Linked DNA regions of Notamacropus eugenii. The protein of the gene in region 2 purifies or fractionates together with the protein of the main gene of each other region. This does not show direct contact. Links are inferred from orthologs where the notes say so. Each region holds a gene or a part of one and is shown on either strand. Other genes may lie near its edges.

The links.
Region 1: the proteins of MAP3K14 (region 2) and CAD purify together in Homo sapiens (affinity purification with mass spectrometry; 3 studies listed by BioGRID and IntAct, with this or other methods). This does not show direct contact. The link is inferred for Notamacropus eugenii from reciprocal best matches to the Homo sapiens genes MAP3K14 and CAD.

Annotation. Positions count from the first base shown.
Region 1 is NC_092872.1:528,464,462-528,471,484, forward strand, and holds the start of CAD (multifunctional protein CAD), read left to right. Parts: upstream 1-4,015; 5' UTR 4,016-4,365; coding exon 4,366-4,447; intron 4,448-4,587; coding exon 4,588-4,727; intron 4,728-7,023. Other genes in the region: ATRAID (all-trans retinoic acid-induced differentiation factor), read left to right, coding at 1,981-2,052, 2,814-2,885, 2,967-3,088, 3,363-3,460, 3,633-3,737. UniProt on the Homo sapiens protein: Multifunctional protein that encodes the first 3 enzymatic activities of the de novo pyrimidine pathway: carbamoylphosphate synthetase (CPSase; EC 6.3.5.5), aspartate transcarbamylase (ATCase; EC 2.1.3.2) and dihydroorotase (DHOase; EC 3.5.2.3).
Region 2 is NC_092873.1:348,496,305-348,503,691, reverse strand, and holds the start of MAP3K14 (mitogen-activated protein kinase kinase kinase 14), read right to left. Parts: upstream 3,001-7,387; 5' UTR 2,978-3,000; intron 2,905-2,977; exon of another isoform or gene 2,526-2,904; intron 2,414-2,525; exon of another isoform or gene 2,306-2,413; intron 1-2,305.

The DNA.
Region 1 (7,023 bases), on a different chromosome or scaffold from region 2:
GGCTGTGTAATTATATAAAACTATGGGATTTGAAACATCATCTTTCATTCCTAAAATACAAACCTACAAACACATGGTCCTTTTACTTTTCAATCCTTATGCCATTTTGGCTAGGGAATGCCCTATGGACCACCTGTCCCATTTGTCTCTGCATAAAAAAGTATATACTTTTGGCCTAGCTAGATAGTTGTTTAGTGTTTTCAGTCTTGTCTGATTTTGGGTTTTCTTGGCAGAGATACCAAAGTGGTCATTTCCTTCTCCAACTCATTTTACAGATGAGGAAACTGAGGCAAACAAGGTTAAGTGACTTACCAAGGGTCACACAGCTAGAAAGTGTCTGAGGCCAGCTTTGAACTCAGGAAGATGAGTCTTCCTGACTCTAGACCTGCCACTTTATCCACTGTTTCACCCAGCAGTTCTACAGACAATACTTGCTATTAAACTTGTAAAAGTACATTGAAGTAAAAGTACATTGGGTGTGAAGCAAAAAGGACCACATGTTTCAAGTTCAGAAATATATCCTTTGAATGTATTACAAAATGTCTCTGTATTCTTCAACTGAACACAAATCAATAATTGATTTGAGTTCAGTTATATGACTGCATTCCACATTCTATATTTGAAATTGAGCTTTTTTTTTGTTTTATTCAGTGACTGTGTTAACTGTTTTGATCTATAAACGTTTTTTACATCTTTCCTCTGCTCCTAAAATAATTTATTTTAAAAATTTCAATAACAGTTCCTTTCTCTAGAGTACCAATAAATGTACTTTTTTTTTTAAAAGACAAAATACTGTTACATGTATATCTCCAATTACCTGCTAAACTTTTCATGGAATTGTTTCAAATGCAAAGTCTAAAGGTGTCCTTCTAATTATTTTGACTCCTCCCTCCACTTTGCCCCCAGTAAGTCACCAAGTCCATTCGGCCTTCATTCTGTCTCTCTTATCTGTTTCAGTCTATTACTCTTCATTCCCTTTGGCATCATCATAATCTAGCCTTGAATGCATGTATCTTTATTGTCACCTAATTGGTCTTCCCTTCAGTCTTTCTATCCTCTGACTTGTTTATTTTGTTGCCAGGGCAACTTTGAGATTTCATATGCCAACACAATAAAGCATAAACTCTCAAGCGTGGCATTCTGGACACAAGCTTTCTTTCTAACAGTTGCTCTGTGGTATGAATGTGGCTGTAGCCAGATTCACTGATTCCCAAGCACATTCATTGCTTATGCTTTTCTTTCTTTCCATGATATTGTCCATACTTTTCTATACCCATCCTAGCCAGTCTTATCTCTCTCATGAAGCCTTCAGTGATCATTCTAGCCCATCCTGATCCCTTTCTCTGATCTTCTGTAGCTTTGTAACACATGATATCTGATGCTTCCTTGTGACATTGTTATATTTTCTTAAACTCCCACGTAATTTTTGTAATTGTTTTTTGTGTCTTGTTCTTGTCCTCTCCCTCCAATAAGTTGCAAGCTCCTTGAGATCAGGGTTCTTTGTTTACATCTGCCAGTGTAATAGTGCATAGTACTATTACATAGTATATATTTGTTGAATAAATATAAGAGATACTGAGGGAAAAACAAGACTAGAGCATAGTCTCAGACCCTGAGGATTTTGCAGTTTAGTGGATATTCACATCTGTACTTGAGAAAAAACAAAAACTTACATTTTTATATAACTTGCATTTTGTACCATCCTGTAATGAGTCACCAATGATCTGGTGACAGATTTGAGACACTTTTTCTAGATAAGAAGCACAGAGCCCTCTCCTTACTTCCTAATAGGCACAAATATTCTGACAGGTTGGTCTCAGACAGGTAAAGATTAATATGGAGCACAGCTGGTTTGCAATAAATGATGGCTAACTAGAAAAGGAGACAAAAAGACAGGTGTCAAAATAGTTCTGCTGATGGGAAAAAAAGTCGTGGATAGGGCAAAAAGGACAGGATTGCACTGACTTTCTCTTCTTTTAGACTAGATCTTCAGAATTGTTCCCTGAAAGAACTGGACCCACTCTTTGCTGAGGCACATTCTGCCATTGTTCTGTAAGTGCTCTCAGGGGCCTTCCTCCCAGAAGACATAAGTGTAGAGGGGTACAGAGCTGGGTAACTAGGGACGGAGCCCTTCTGAGAGAAATGTGGGGGTCCTTCAATCTGGACAGTCCAGGATGGGCAATGGGTGCTAAGAGAAATAGAAGTGTATGACAATTAAAAAGATTTGGAAGACATGGTTTTGGGGTAATTTATTCATTTTTTTTTAATAAGGCCAGCAGTTTATTAAGAAAAGTTTGGTCATTTGGCAGTCTTTCTTAGATCAAAGACTCCTAATGGCTGCGGGGTCACAGTTTATATGCCTTTTGAAGTTTCCTGAGGGGTTCCTAATCACCTCTGATTGGTTAACACAGTGAGAGGTGGGCTGTCTTGGGCTGTGTGACTTAGGTCACTCATAACTTGGTGAAAGAGACATCAATTTCCATATCAACTGTCTTGATTGTAGGGAGAATCAACATTTTCCCAGGCCTGTCTAACAAACACAGTAAGCAGGGATATACCCATTAGCTTCACTTAGAAATTTCTTTCTTAAAGAATTTTTTTACTGTCTAATTAGATCTTGACCTGGGTAAATCTCTAAGAGAGACTTCCCACACTGGTTGATTTCTGGATGAGGAAGTAGAAAAGGGGAAAACCTTGGTCCTAACACAATAATTAATTCTTAAATATAAGAGAGAAATATTAATTTCACACAAATGGAATCAGGGAGCTTCTCTAGGTAAGGCATAGTAACAGTGGGTATTTTTGATTTGCAGGGACCTACAAGCAAACCCTCTCCTGAATATATCTACCTCAGTCTTTCGTAACTTCACAGAGCTCCAGACGCTGTGAGTAGAATGAGGTAGGAAACATATAATGAGATCAGCAACATCTGATTGCATGGCATGACAATTGTATGTTATGTTCAGGGTACTGCCACTGAAAGTTGACTGTCCTGGAGGATATTATGCCTGGGAAAATATCACCTGTGGCACCGACAGCTGTACCTGCTACAAGCAAAGAAATCAGTGCAATAACACTGTGGAATCAGGTATGACTTTTGACTTCTTTCCTTCTAGAAACTGCCTAACTTCCCTTACTCTGCCCTTTGAAAAAGGGAAAGTAACCCCCAACTGTGATTAGCACCCATGTTTTCAAGATCCTCACCCCATGTAGGTAAAGGACATAATCAGTCTCATCCTTTCTATCCTTGCTCCTGACCTGGAAAGCACTTTGAAGGATTTAGGGTTGGAGCAGAAGTATGCGTAGCCTTGACTACCTAATGAATCTGTTGTTAATGTACAATAGTTTCTCTCCTGCTGCAGCTTTGTGCCCAGAGAATGCATATTGCGTCCCTGATGGCCCAGGCCTCTTCCAGTGTCTTTGTACTAGTGGCTTCCATGGCTACAAGTGTCTTCGTGAGGTGAAAAGTGGGGAAATGAACCAGCTTGGAATGAGATGTGGGAAGTGGGTTTGGGACTTGCAGTCATTTGGAATCAAACTGCATGAAGAGGAAGCCTCTTAGGTGGAGGGGGAATGACAAAATTTACATTTCTGTCTGCTGACACTTGTTCCTCATGGCATGTTACTTACAGGGCTCTTTCCCTCTCCTCATGTTCTCTGGAGTGCTGGGCACTACCACATTTTGCATCTCCATCTTGCTCTGGGGAACCCAGCTTCGAAAAATCAAAGCCTCTTGAATCAAGTTTTCCTTCGGACCTACAAATCGAAGAAGCTCTTAGGTGGGCGCAGCCTGGGAGTTTCCTTGCGCAGCTCAGGCCTTGGCCTAGAGTGCAGAGAAGTAGGGGGTGGAGAGAGCTGGGATCCACTGGTGGTCTGGTGGCTGCTAGACCAGGCTTGAAGTCAGAAGTGTTTGTAAGGTTTGCCCCTAATAAAATCCCCCCTTTTAAAGAAAGTGCTCTGTGTGTGCGTGTGCGTGTGTCTCTGGGCTGCACTGCGTGAGGCTGCAGTAAGAAAATGACTCCCAATTCTTGCAAAAGCCCAAAGGAGGCCCGCGAGTCCCCGGCGAGTTAACCTCGGACCATCTCTTCCCCGGACTTACAGATTCGGTGACGTCACGGCACATCACCTGGCCACGCCTCCTTTGCGTCCGCTCGGCTCCGCCCCTGACGTGGTTCGGCGGCGCCGTCTCAGCCGCAGCTCCCGCCACCCGGGAGCGAGGCGAGGATCCTAGACCGGCTCTGCCGCCTCCGCCGCCGCGGGCCACGTGGACGGGCCGCCGCGCCACCGCGTTTCGCTGCTCCGCTCCGCACGTGGGCCCCGCCAGGCTGCCATCTGCGCCCTCCCAGGGGGCACGGCTCCGGTTCCATGGCGGCGCTGGTGTTGGAGGACGGGTCGGTGCTGCGGGGCCAGCCCTTTGGCGCGGCCATATGCGCCGCGGGGGAAGTGGGTAAGCCCTCCAGCTCAGGCTTCCTAGGCCCTCTCCCTCCCTCGACCCCGGGCGGGACCCGCTACCCTCCCCAGGTTGGTGCCCTGGCCAGTTCCCCCGAGCCAGGTGGCTGAAAGCTGCCCCCGCCTGTCTTCCCGCAGTGTTCCAGACTGGCATGGTGGGCTACCCGGAGGCCCTCACCGACCCCTCCTACAAAGCCCAGATTCTGGTCCTGACTTATCCGCTCGTGGGCAACTATGGCATCCCCCCCGACGAGGAGGACGAGTTCAGCCTCAGCCAGGTACAGGGGCCTCTCCCTCTTTCCCGCCCAAGCCTCTCTGCTTGCCCCTGCTATCACCTTTTGCGGAGAGCATGTTGCAGTTTTACCTGGGAAGGGTTCCGATGTGGTGGTCCCCTAGTTATCTTCGTTCCACAGCTCCGACTGGTAGGAAGGACGATCTAGAGAGAAAGGGTTTGTCCCCTTCACGGCTGCCCACCCCCATACACGTGTACACATGATTTCTACTCCCCTCTGGTCAGTTAGCAAGCATTTATTGAGTTCCTTCCATGTACTGTTGGAAGGAGACCAGCAGGAGCCCCGAATCAGGAGCCCCAAGGACTCCGAGGCATCTGTAACTTGGTGACCCAACCGGGATGCTGCTGATAAGGACCGTAGGAATGTATCTGCACGGTCTGCATTCTTCACTTGAACCTATCTTAAAGAATGTTGCCACGCCCATCTTGACTTAAAATATTTGTAGATTGCCTATGAATATGATACTTGCTGGTGCTCCCTGAGGGAAGGAAGGAATGGGAAGATGATTCACTTAACCATGCCTGGCTTTTGTGTAGTACTTTTTAGTCTGAAAAAGAATTTCATTTGATCCTCATGATATTGCCATGAGGTTGGCTATTGTACAGATAAGAAAATATAGTCTGAAATATTGTCATTTGTTCAAAGGCACATAGCCAATCAGGTCTGCTGGCTCCAGATTCAGGCTTCTTCCCATCATATCTTGGAGCTGAGATATAACTTTGACTTCTGGAAGCTAGCTTTGTTGATGTAGGTCCCAGGGAGGTCTAAACCAGGGCTCCTCACACCTGGCTTCTGCTGGCTGCTCTTGCCATTGGGCTGTCCTCATCCTCATCTACCCTCATGGCAGTCTGCTCCACATTTACCATATCCTCCCAGGTCTGGCAACTTGATGAGTTCCTGGCCCCTAACTCTTTTACATTCTGTCAAACACTTCCCAAATATCCACTGTCACCCTCTTCCCCATATTTACCATTGACCCCACATTCAGATTTTCCCTCTGCCCCCAGCTCCAGTTTAGTGGATTGTCCTGCCTTCTGACCTGGGTCCCTATGAATCTCCACAGTTCTGCCTTTCTGCCCCCAGGATCCTTCCTTGGATGCAGGAACCAAGGCTTTTGACTGACCCCCTTATCTGGACCTGTGACTGTGAGCTGCTCCCTTATCAGATCCTAAACTTTGGCTCCTGGTCTCCAGTTTCCCTTTAGCAATGCTAAGCCCAAGCTTTACCAGAGGGTCCCAGGAGTCCTCTCCATCTTCTAGTTAAACCTCAGGACACAGTCTTCCTGTTTTTCCAGATTCAGTTGCATACCTGAAATATGCTGACACTTAAGTGTTCATGTTCCTTTTACCCAGGCCCCTGCTTCCCTGCACCCTATTCTTCCAGAGCCCTTAGGTTCCCTGCCAGCGGGCTGAATCCCAGACTGGCTTTTGTCTTCCAGCCTCAGAATTCCCCTAGTCATTCCCTGGTGGCTCCATTCAAGAGCTCTCCCCATCCCCAACTGTCTGTCATCTAGATAGTGTGTGTATGTGTATGTGTGTGTGTATGTATGTTACTTGGGGAGAGGGAATGCAGGAAGGGCAGAGTACCAATTGGAGGAAGAGCTCTTGAGATTCCAAAGTTCCTTCTGTCTCTTGGGTCTGTAGGAGGATGGGAGAGAGAAGAGGGTCAAAAGAAAAGAAATAAGAGAGGGGGAGACCATCTTCATTTTTATACCATCCCATCAAAGTAAACTTATATCCTGCTGCCCTGCCCTCTGTGTATACTCCTTCTAACTGCCCCTATGGCCAGAAACTCTGAGGGTCTTCTCCCAGACTTTTTTGTTTTTGACTGAACCCATTCTTTGCCTCTTTTCTTACCTGACCTTAATTACTGAATGGGTGTTGCCTCACAGTCCAGCTGAAACCCAGGAAAGACCTTAGCTTAAAAAGGTCAAAGTCCTCCACAGCATCAGAACTATCTCCAGTTGTCCTGATATATATCTTCCCCTTGGACCCAGATGGCTCAGAAGGAGACAGTGAGGCTGGTGACTTTGCACAGCCTTGCCTCACTTAAATCCAATTCACTCAAAAGTCATGGCATCCCCTTCTGATGACATGGTCCTTTTTGAAAATGAAGGACAAACAACAATCTTCCCACTATACTGGCCTCAAGGAACTTTTTGTAGTAGGGAAGGGCAAAATAAAAATCAATGAGTATAGTGTTTTGAGACTTGTAAAGCATTTTCTATGTAATTCCTAATTTGATTTATAAATAGTCAATATGGGGTGGAATGATTTCCATA
Region 2 (7,387 bases):
GGCTTTAAAAAGTCCTTCAGAATTGCTCCTTACAAACTAAAAACCTATTTAGTTGTGTGATCAAGAGCAGAGATCGCCAGCCTTTTTGATGAAAGCAACATTTTATTCCTTTAAGTGCAACCTAATGCACTTAATTTTAAAATTTAAAGTACATTAATTTTAAAAAGGAAATTACAATTCATTATGTTTTGAGAACACTTCAAGAATTATCCCCTTTGAGATAAAAATAATATGGGTTGATCCAAACAGGAAGGGGTCTAGTGAACTTCTTAAAAATTTTTTTTAAACTGTATTTTAGTATAATTGGTTTCCTCTGTAATCTTATGTATTTATTTTATGCATTTATAAACATTATTCTGAAAGGGGGGTCCATAGGTTTCATCAGGTTGCCCAAAGGGGTCCATGACATAAAAAAGAACCTCTGAATTGGTGTTTGCTAAACTAAGGTCTACTTAAAAAACACATCAGAAGGTAAGATTTCTGGGAAACAAAACAAAACAAAACAACCCACCAACAATAAATCCATTTCAATTAAGGCAAGCATCCCTCTTTAAGTGTGCACATAGTAGGTGCTTAATGACTAAACTGACTGACAGTATACTATAGTTGGGTTTAATGTCAAGATTTCCCATTTCCAAATCAAACATTTCTTCCTCCACTCCAAGATTTTAAATCTACAAAACTGTGTGCAGTTGATGGATCCTAGAAATAGGAGTCAAGAGACCTGTGCTCTGGAATCTTATCTCTGCCACTAACGAGCTGTGCCACCTTAAAAGTTCAGTTTTCTTTCTGTCTTACCTTTCTCATTGAGAAGTTATAAAGACAAGATAAGATCAATATGAAAACTCTTAGAAAAGCTCAATTCAACAAAGATATTTACTAAGGGCTTACTGGTTACAACGTTAAGTTCTTTGAGGGCTTACAGAGGCCATCTATCTTTGTTTCTGGATCCCCAGTCTAGCACAGTTCCTCGTATGATAACAAGTGATTAATAAATGCTTGTTGAATTAAAATGCAAAGCACTCTGCAGGCTTACGTTACCTTCAAAATAAAATAAAACAAAAACTATCATGATAAAATTATTAAAATTATGTCCCTGCCCTTAAGAAGCTTATAATGGGGTAGAATAGAGCAAGAACAGAACAGAATTAGAGCAAGTTTTTTCTGAAAGACCCAGCTCTAGACAAGAGGTTGTGAATCTCCACTGAAATAACCATTAAAGTGACAGTGTCGATGGCTCCAGGGGCCCTCTGCGCTACCGCACTACATTTCATTTGCATTCACACGAGTTGTTAAATCATCAGGATGTTTTACAAGCTCTCTCGATCTCCGTTGTATCCCCAGGGCCTAGGGCAGCGTCTGACCCGCGGTAGGCTCTGGATGAACGCGCGTTTAAAGAACCGGATTCTTTGTTTACATTTTGACTGTCAATAGACGACCCTTAGGAGAGTCCTTACTCCTTTCCCTTCGCTCCGTTTGCCCCCTCCCTCTCATTTATTCCTTTGCTACTCAGGACTGAGAGTATTCTTTTACCCCCCGTAGGGGGAAGCACTTTTCTGAGGTTTCTGATTACTGGGGATGCCGAAGCCCACCAGGAATCGCTACCCGGGGACGAGAACGTCTCTAGCTGGGTAGTAACGTGTAGCCATGCCCCTCGACTTAAGAGTGGGAGAGACGGGAAAGGGAAGACTGCGCCGGCCGAGCGCCCCGTACAGAGAGCCTCGGCTGGGCGGCCCGGGGAGGAATCCGCGAAGCTTTCCCGACGTGGGCTTTCCAGGCTCCAGGACCAGGGTCCCGCACGGACGGAGCTCTGGAGGGAGGATGCTAGGGCGGTGAGACGCGTGGGCTTGGGCAGGAACGGCCAAAGGGTGTCAGGTGGGCTCTCAGACTGCCAACAACTCACACGCCTCGGTTTACGAAGGAAGGGGGCCCACCTCGCTTTACGAAGCAGGGTGACCTGGCGGGCTGGGAACGGCTAAGGGGGCTGGCCCACGTTCCACAGACAAGCGGCCGGGGAGCAGCGAGGGCACGTCTGCGGACACCCCCACTTAGGGGGGCTGAGTGGTCCGAGGAGGCGGTGAGAAGAGGGGGTGGCCCCGGGCGAAGGGCAGGTCCCCCGCCAGATGTGGACCCCGAGGCTGAGGGACGGGGCCGGGCGCGGGCGCCGGGGCGTGGAACAGGCAGCTTGGAGGGCCTCGCTGCCCAGGATCCCCGAGAAGGGCCGGCGCTCCAGCGGAGATCCGCGCCCCGACGCCCAGGGGGCCCGACTCTCCCTGCCCCGGGGTCAGCGCGCCAGCCCGCCTACCTGCCGGCCCCGAGCGCCGCTCTCTCGTCTTCTTCCGCTGCCGCCGTGGCCGCTGCCGCTCGGCTTCGATCCCCTCACTTGACGGCTCTGGGCACCCGCCCGGCCCCGCCCCCAGGCTCCAGCCGAGTCGGCCTCGGGCCCCGCCCCTCCACCGCCACTCGCCGCGCGCGGCTCCTTCCCCGCGTTCCACTCGACTTTTGACTTTCGGGGCGGGGCCCTGAGCAAACCCCAACTTGCGAGCTCAATGGCCCGCCCCCTCCGAGTCGCTCCGCCTCCTGGGAGCGGTGATTGGTGAGAACGTGACCTATCAGAAATGGGCGTTATTTCCGCTCAGTGCTTGCCAAGGCCGAGAGATCCTGAGCCAGACTAGAGGTGGGGGCGGCGGCGGCGGCTGCTGGAGGCCCGGACCAGGCTGGGGCAGCTGCAGCGGGTAGAAACTGCACATGCGCCAGTCTTTACCGGATGCTTTCCGGGGGTTACGGGAAGGAAGAGTGACCGTGCGCATGCGTGGGCTTTGGTTGCCTTGGAGACGAACCTGTTCACAAGGAGGAGGAGGAGGAGGTGTCTCCTCTCTTTTCCTCCCAAACCCGCAGAAGCCGGTAGTGTTTAATAGAAAACGTGCTAGATTGACCATTGGAGAAATACAGTTTGAATCCCAATTGTGCTACTTACTAGCCGCGGGAGCCCGCGCCGCTCACCGTAACCGCTCCGTGCCTCGGTTTCCTCATCTGTAAAAGGGGAATCACATTCCCAGCTGGAAAGTTCGAATCCTAGCGTTCGGGCGAGTATTACTAACAGCGCCAGACACAGGGTCAGAGACTTAGGGCTGAAGGAGGCCGTCTGGTCCAAAGTCCTCATTGTAAAATAGGAAATCCGAGGTCGTGAGGGACTTGTCAAGAGTCCCAGAGCTGACAAAGGTCAGAGACAGAATTTGGACTTAGCTCCTCCTGACCCTGATCCGCCTTCTGCCCACTATCACGGCGCCTCTCAGGCAAGCAGAAGGTGTTTAATAAGTGCTGGTTGAAGAGGCAGCCACCAGGGACAGTGGATAGAGTAGCAGACCTCTAGTCAGAAAGACAGGTTCAAATCTGACCTCGCACACTTCCTGGCTTACAGCCAGCCTCTTCAAGTTTCCTCTTAAAGCCACTTTACAAGTGCTAGCTATTATTCTTTAGCTTTATACCATCTTAAGCCTTTTTATTGTACCCCAAGGACAACTGACCTAACAGCAGCCCTAAGTTTATTCCGCTGCCTGGTCTTGGTCACAAGCAGAATCTGAGGATGCTGCAGATGGCTCAGGGCAACCCATTTCACCAGCTGGTGAATAATGACAACTTAGATTTGGACTCAGAGTGGTGTTGGTAACGGGGCTGCGGAGTCAGGAAGACTCGGAGTCAGATCTTGCTTCTGACTTGTAGGCTATGTGGTCTCAGACGAATCATTTAACCCTTTAAGGTCCCCAAGCAACTCGCTCAGACTGTAACTGCACATCAGTGGGCAGTCTGCAATGGTGAGAGGGAGTTTCCTCACATGAATGAGATCATAAATCTAGACCAAAAAAACCCCTCATATTTAATATAGCACTTTAGACTTTACTGTGTAATACAGTGAAAAGAGGGCTGTTTTCTGGATCTAAGTCTGTAAAATGAGATTAGACTAGATGATCTCTCAGGCCCCTTCATGCCCCAAATGTCTGATACTATGGCAGAATCTCTTGGGCTCTCCGTCTCCACTGCTACCATCCTAGTCCAGATTCCTATTACCACCCACTTGAACTATTACATTAATTCCTACTGGATATTCCAGTCCACCTTTTCCCATCTAATCTATCCTTCACATACCAGAATACTCTTCCTTATGTAAAGAGATATGACCATGTCATTCCTCTGCTCAAAAATCTCTAGGAAAATTCAAAATCCTTTACTTGGCATTCAAGGTCCCCGGTAATCATGATACACTATGTTTCCAGCCTTATTTCTTATAGCTCTGCTGCAAGTACTCTACCATACAGTCAATCACACCGTGACTTTACTTAAGACTTTTTCCTAATGTTCAAAATGTCTCCCTCTTTTCACCTGCTGAATTCCTATCTATCCATCCTGTAAAACCTGACAAGTAACAATTCTTCACAGAATCACAGGTCTAGTTGGTAAAAACTTCGATGACATCAGCCAGGCTCTGCTGGAAGACTTTGAGTCATCACTCATGCAGCCTATCTTGCTTTTGGACAGATCTAATTTTTTTTTTTGAGGGGGGAATGTGGGGGGAGGCAATTGACTTATCCAGGATCACACAGCTAGTAAGTGTCTGAGATCAAATTTGAACTCCTGAAGACAGATCCTTCTGAAGGTAGATCTAATTTTGAGAAAAAATTTTCCATTTGTGGAGTTCAACTCTGCTTTTCAACAACATCCATGATTACTCGTAATTCTGCCCTTTGAGGCCAAACAGAACAAATCTAGTCCCTCTTCTACAAGACAGCCTTCCAAATACTTCAAAACAGCTGTCATGGTTTTTTTTTAGTCTTCTCTTCTCCAGGCTAATCATCCCCAGTTCCTTCAACTGTTCATAATATAACATGATCTCTAGACGTCTTTCAACATTCTAATCATCCTTCACTTTACACACCCTGTCTTCCTAAAATGTATTGCCCAGAAGTGAACACATTACTCCAGATGTGGTCTGGTTAGGACTGTCACCTTCTTTGTTTCGATTACTGAATTTAGTCTAAGATCTTGTGAGTCTTATAGGGTAACATATTCTGTTGTTGACTACTTGTAGTCCTCTAAAATCACTGATATTTTTCTTTTTAAAAAACGTATTAAACTTTATTTGTAGAGCTACATTCTTTCTCTTCTACCTCACCACTGATTGAGAAGGCAAGAAAAATAAGATCTCTATTACAAACATATATAGTAAAAAAAACCAAACCCAAATTCCTGAATTGACCGTGTCTGAAAGAAAGAGGCAAAGAATCACTCTGTCTCTTGAGTCCATCACCTCCCTATATGGATGTGGGTAATATGATTCATCATGAATGCTCTAGAATTGTGGTCGGTCATTGAGTTGGTCAGAGGTTCTAAGTCTTTCAAAGTTATTTGTCTTTATAATATGGCTGTTATTGTATAACTTGCTCTCTTGGTTCTGTTTTTCTCATTCTGCTTCAGTTCATTTGAGTTTCTCTGAGTTTCTCTGAAGCCATTCTCTTCATCATTTCTTAGCAGCATAATCCATATATTTTTCATAGGAACTGTTTTCCAGATATACTTTCCCCATCCCGTAGCTGTACAGATGAATTTTTGAACCCAAATATATGTAGCATTTATTGCTACAAAATTCAAATGATTTGATTCTAGCCTGCTGACATCTTTTAGATCCTGACTTTTTTGTTCAATGTGTTAGCTACATAAAGGCTTCTTACAATGGGATGCAGCATGTAAAGTTAGGAGTCTAGATTCTAGAGAGAAAGATATTTTGGTCAAATATGATCTCAGAGACCCCTCAAGTAAAACCGTGTAGATGAGTGACCTAGGCCATATGAGTTTTTGTCTGTCCCTTTGCCTCCTCGATGACTGGATGCCAGTTGAAACAGAGTGTAGCAGAATGGAAAGAGTACAGGATTTGGGGTTAAAAAACTTGAATTTAGATGCCGTGATGGGAGGCCATCCCTAGTTGTCTTTATCCAAATCTTGCCACTGGACCTAGATGGTTCTGGAGAAGAGAGTGAAGTCGGTGACTTTGCACAGCCCTCCCTTGCTTAAATTCAATTCATTTGTAAGTAATATTATCACCTTCCTGATGTCACTGGTCCTCTTCAAGAATGAAGGAGGAACAACAACCTGTGTGTGTAGGTAGTAGCTGCCCCACTGGGCTGGCCAGTTTCAGTTGGGCAATGCAGCTTTTTCCTTCCTTCCTTCGTTCCTTCCTTCTTTTCCTCCCTCCCTCCCTCCCTCCTTCTCTCTTTGTCTTCCTCTCTTCTCTCCTTCTATTCACATAGAGAATCACACTCTTACCTACAGGTGCTCTGCCCAAAGGAACATGAATTTTGATCAATGAAATTTCGCAAGACATCTTGGGGCTTACGGGCTAGATTTCTTTTAAGGACCATGCCTTAAACTCAGATCACTCTGGCTCTCATTGATTGGCCAACAACAGGTCTTAACCTAAGCCTCATTTGATCATTATTTGGATTCTAATGGCTCAGAGTGAGTGTAAATAGAAATTGTTTCAGTTTTGGCCAGAAACCCTGAGGGTCTTCCCCTGTCAGATTGATTTTTTTTGACTAGGTAAAAGAGACCACTCTTTGTCTCATTTCTTACCTATCCTTCATCACTGAATGGGTATTGTCTCAGTCAGCCAAGACCTGGGAAAGACCTTAACTTAAAAAGGTCAAGGTCTCCTGCTGCATCTGTGGCCATCTCCAGACTGATTTTTATACCTTACCACTGGATCCAGATAGTTCTGGAGGAGAAAGTGAGGCTGGTGACTTTGCATAGCCCTCCCTCACTTAAATCCAATTTACTTGCATGTCATGGTATCATCTCCTTGATGTCATGGTCCTCTTTGAGAATGAAGGACAAATCACAAGTAGTAGCAGTAGGATCTGCCCCACTGGAGAATCCAACTGGAACTGGCCAGTTGGGCAACACAGGTCCTTTCTTTCATTCCTTCCTTCCTTCCCTTCCCTTACCTCTCTCCACATAGGGTACCATATACTTAACTTCAGGTACTGTGCCTAAAGGAATGTAAACTTTAATCCCTAAAAGCTCTCAAGATATCTTGGGATTTATGGGCTAGATTTCTCTCTTAAGGACCATGTCTTAAACCTAAATTACTCTGATTCTCATTGATTGGCCAATAATAGGTTCCAGGCCAAATCCCACTTGGTCGTTGTTTGGGCCCTGATTGGCTCAGAGTGAAGGTAAATAGCAATTGTTTCTGTTTTGGGGGTATATATGAGAAAGATTGTGGAGGTAGAAACAAGGCTTGGCACTACATTGGGTATGTAGGATGAGAGAGATAGAAGTATGAAGCAGTTAATGATGACTAGGATGGTGCTGCCCTTGACAGTAATAGGGAACT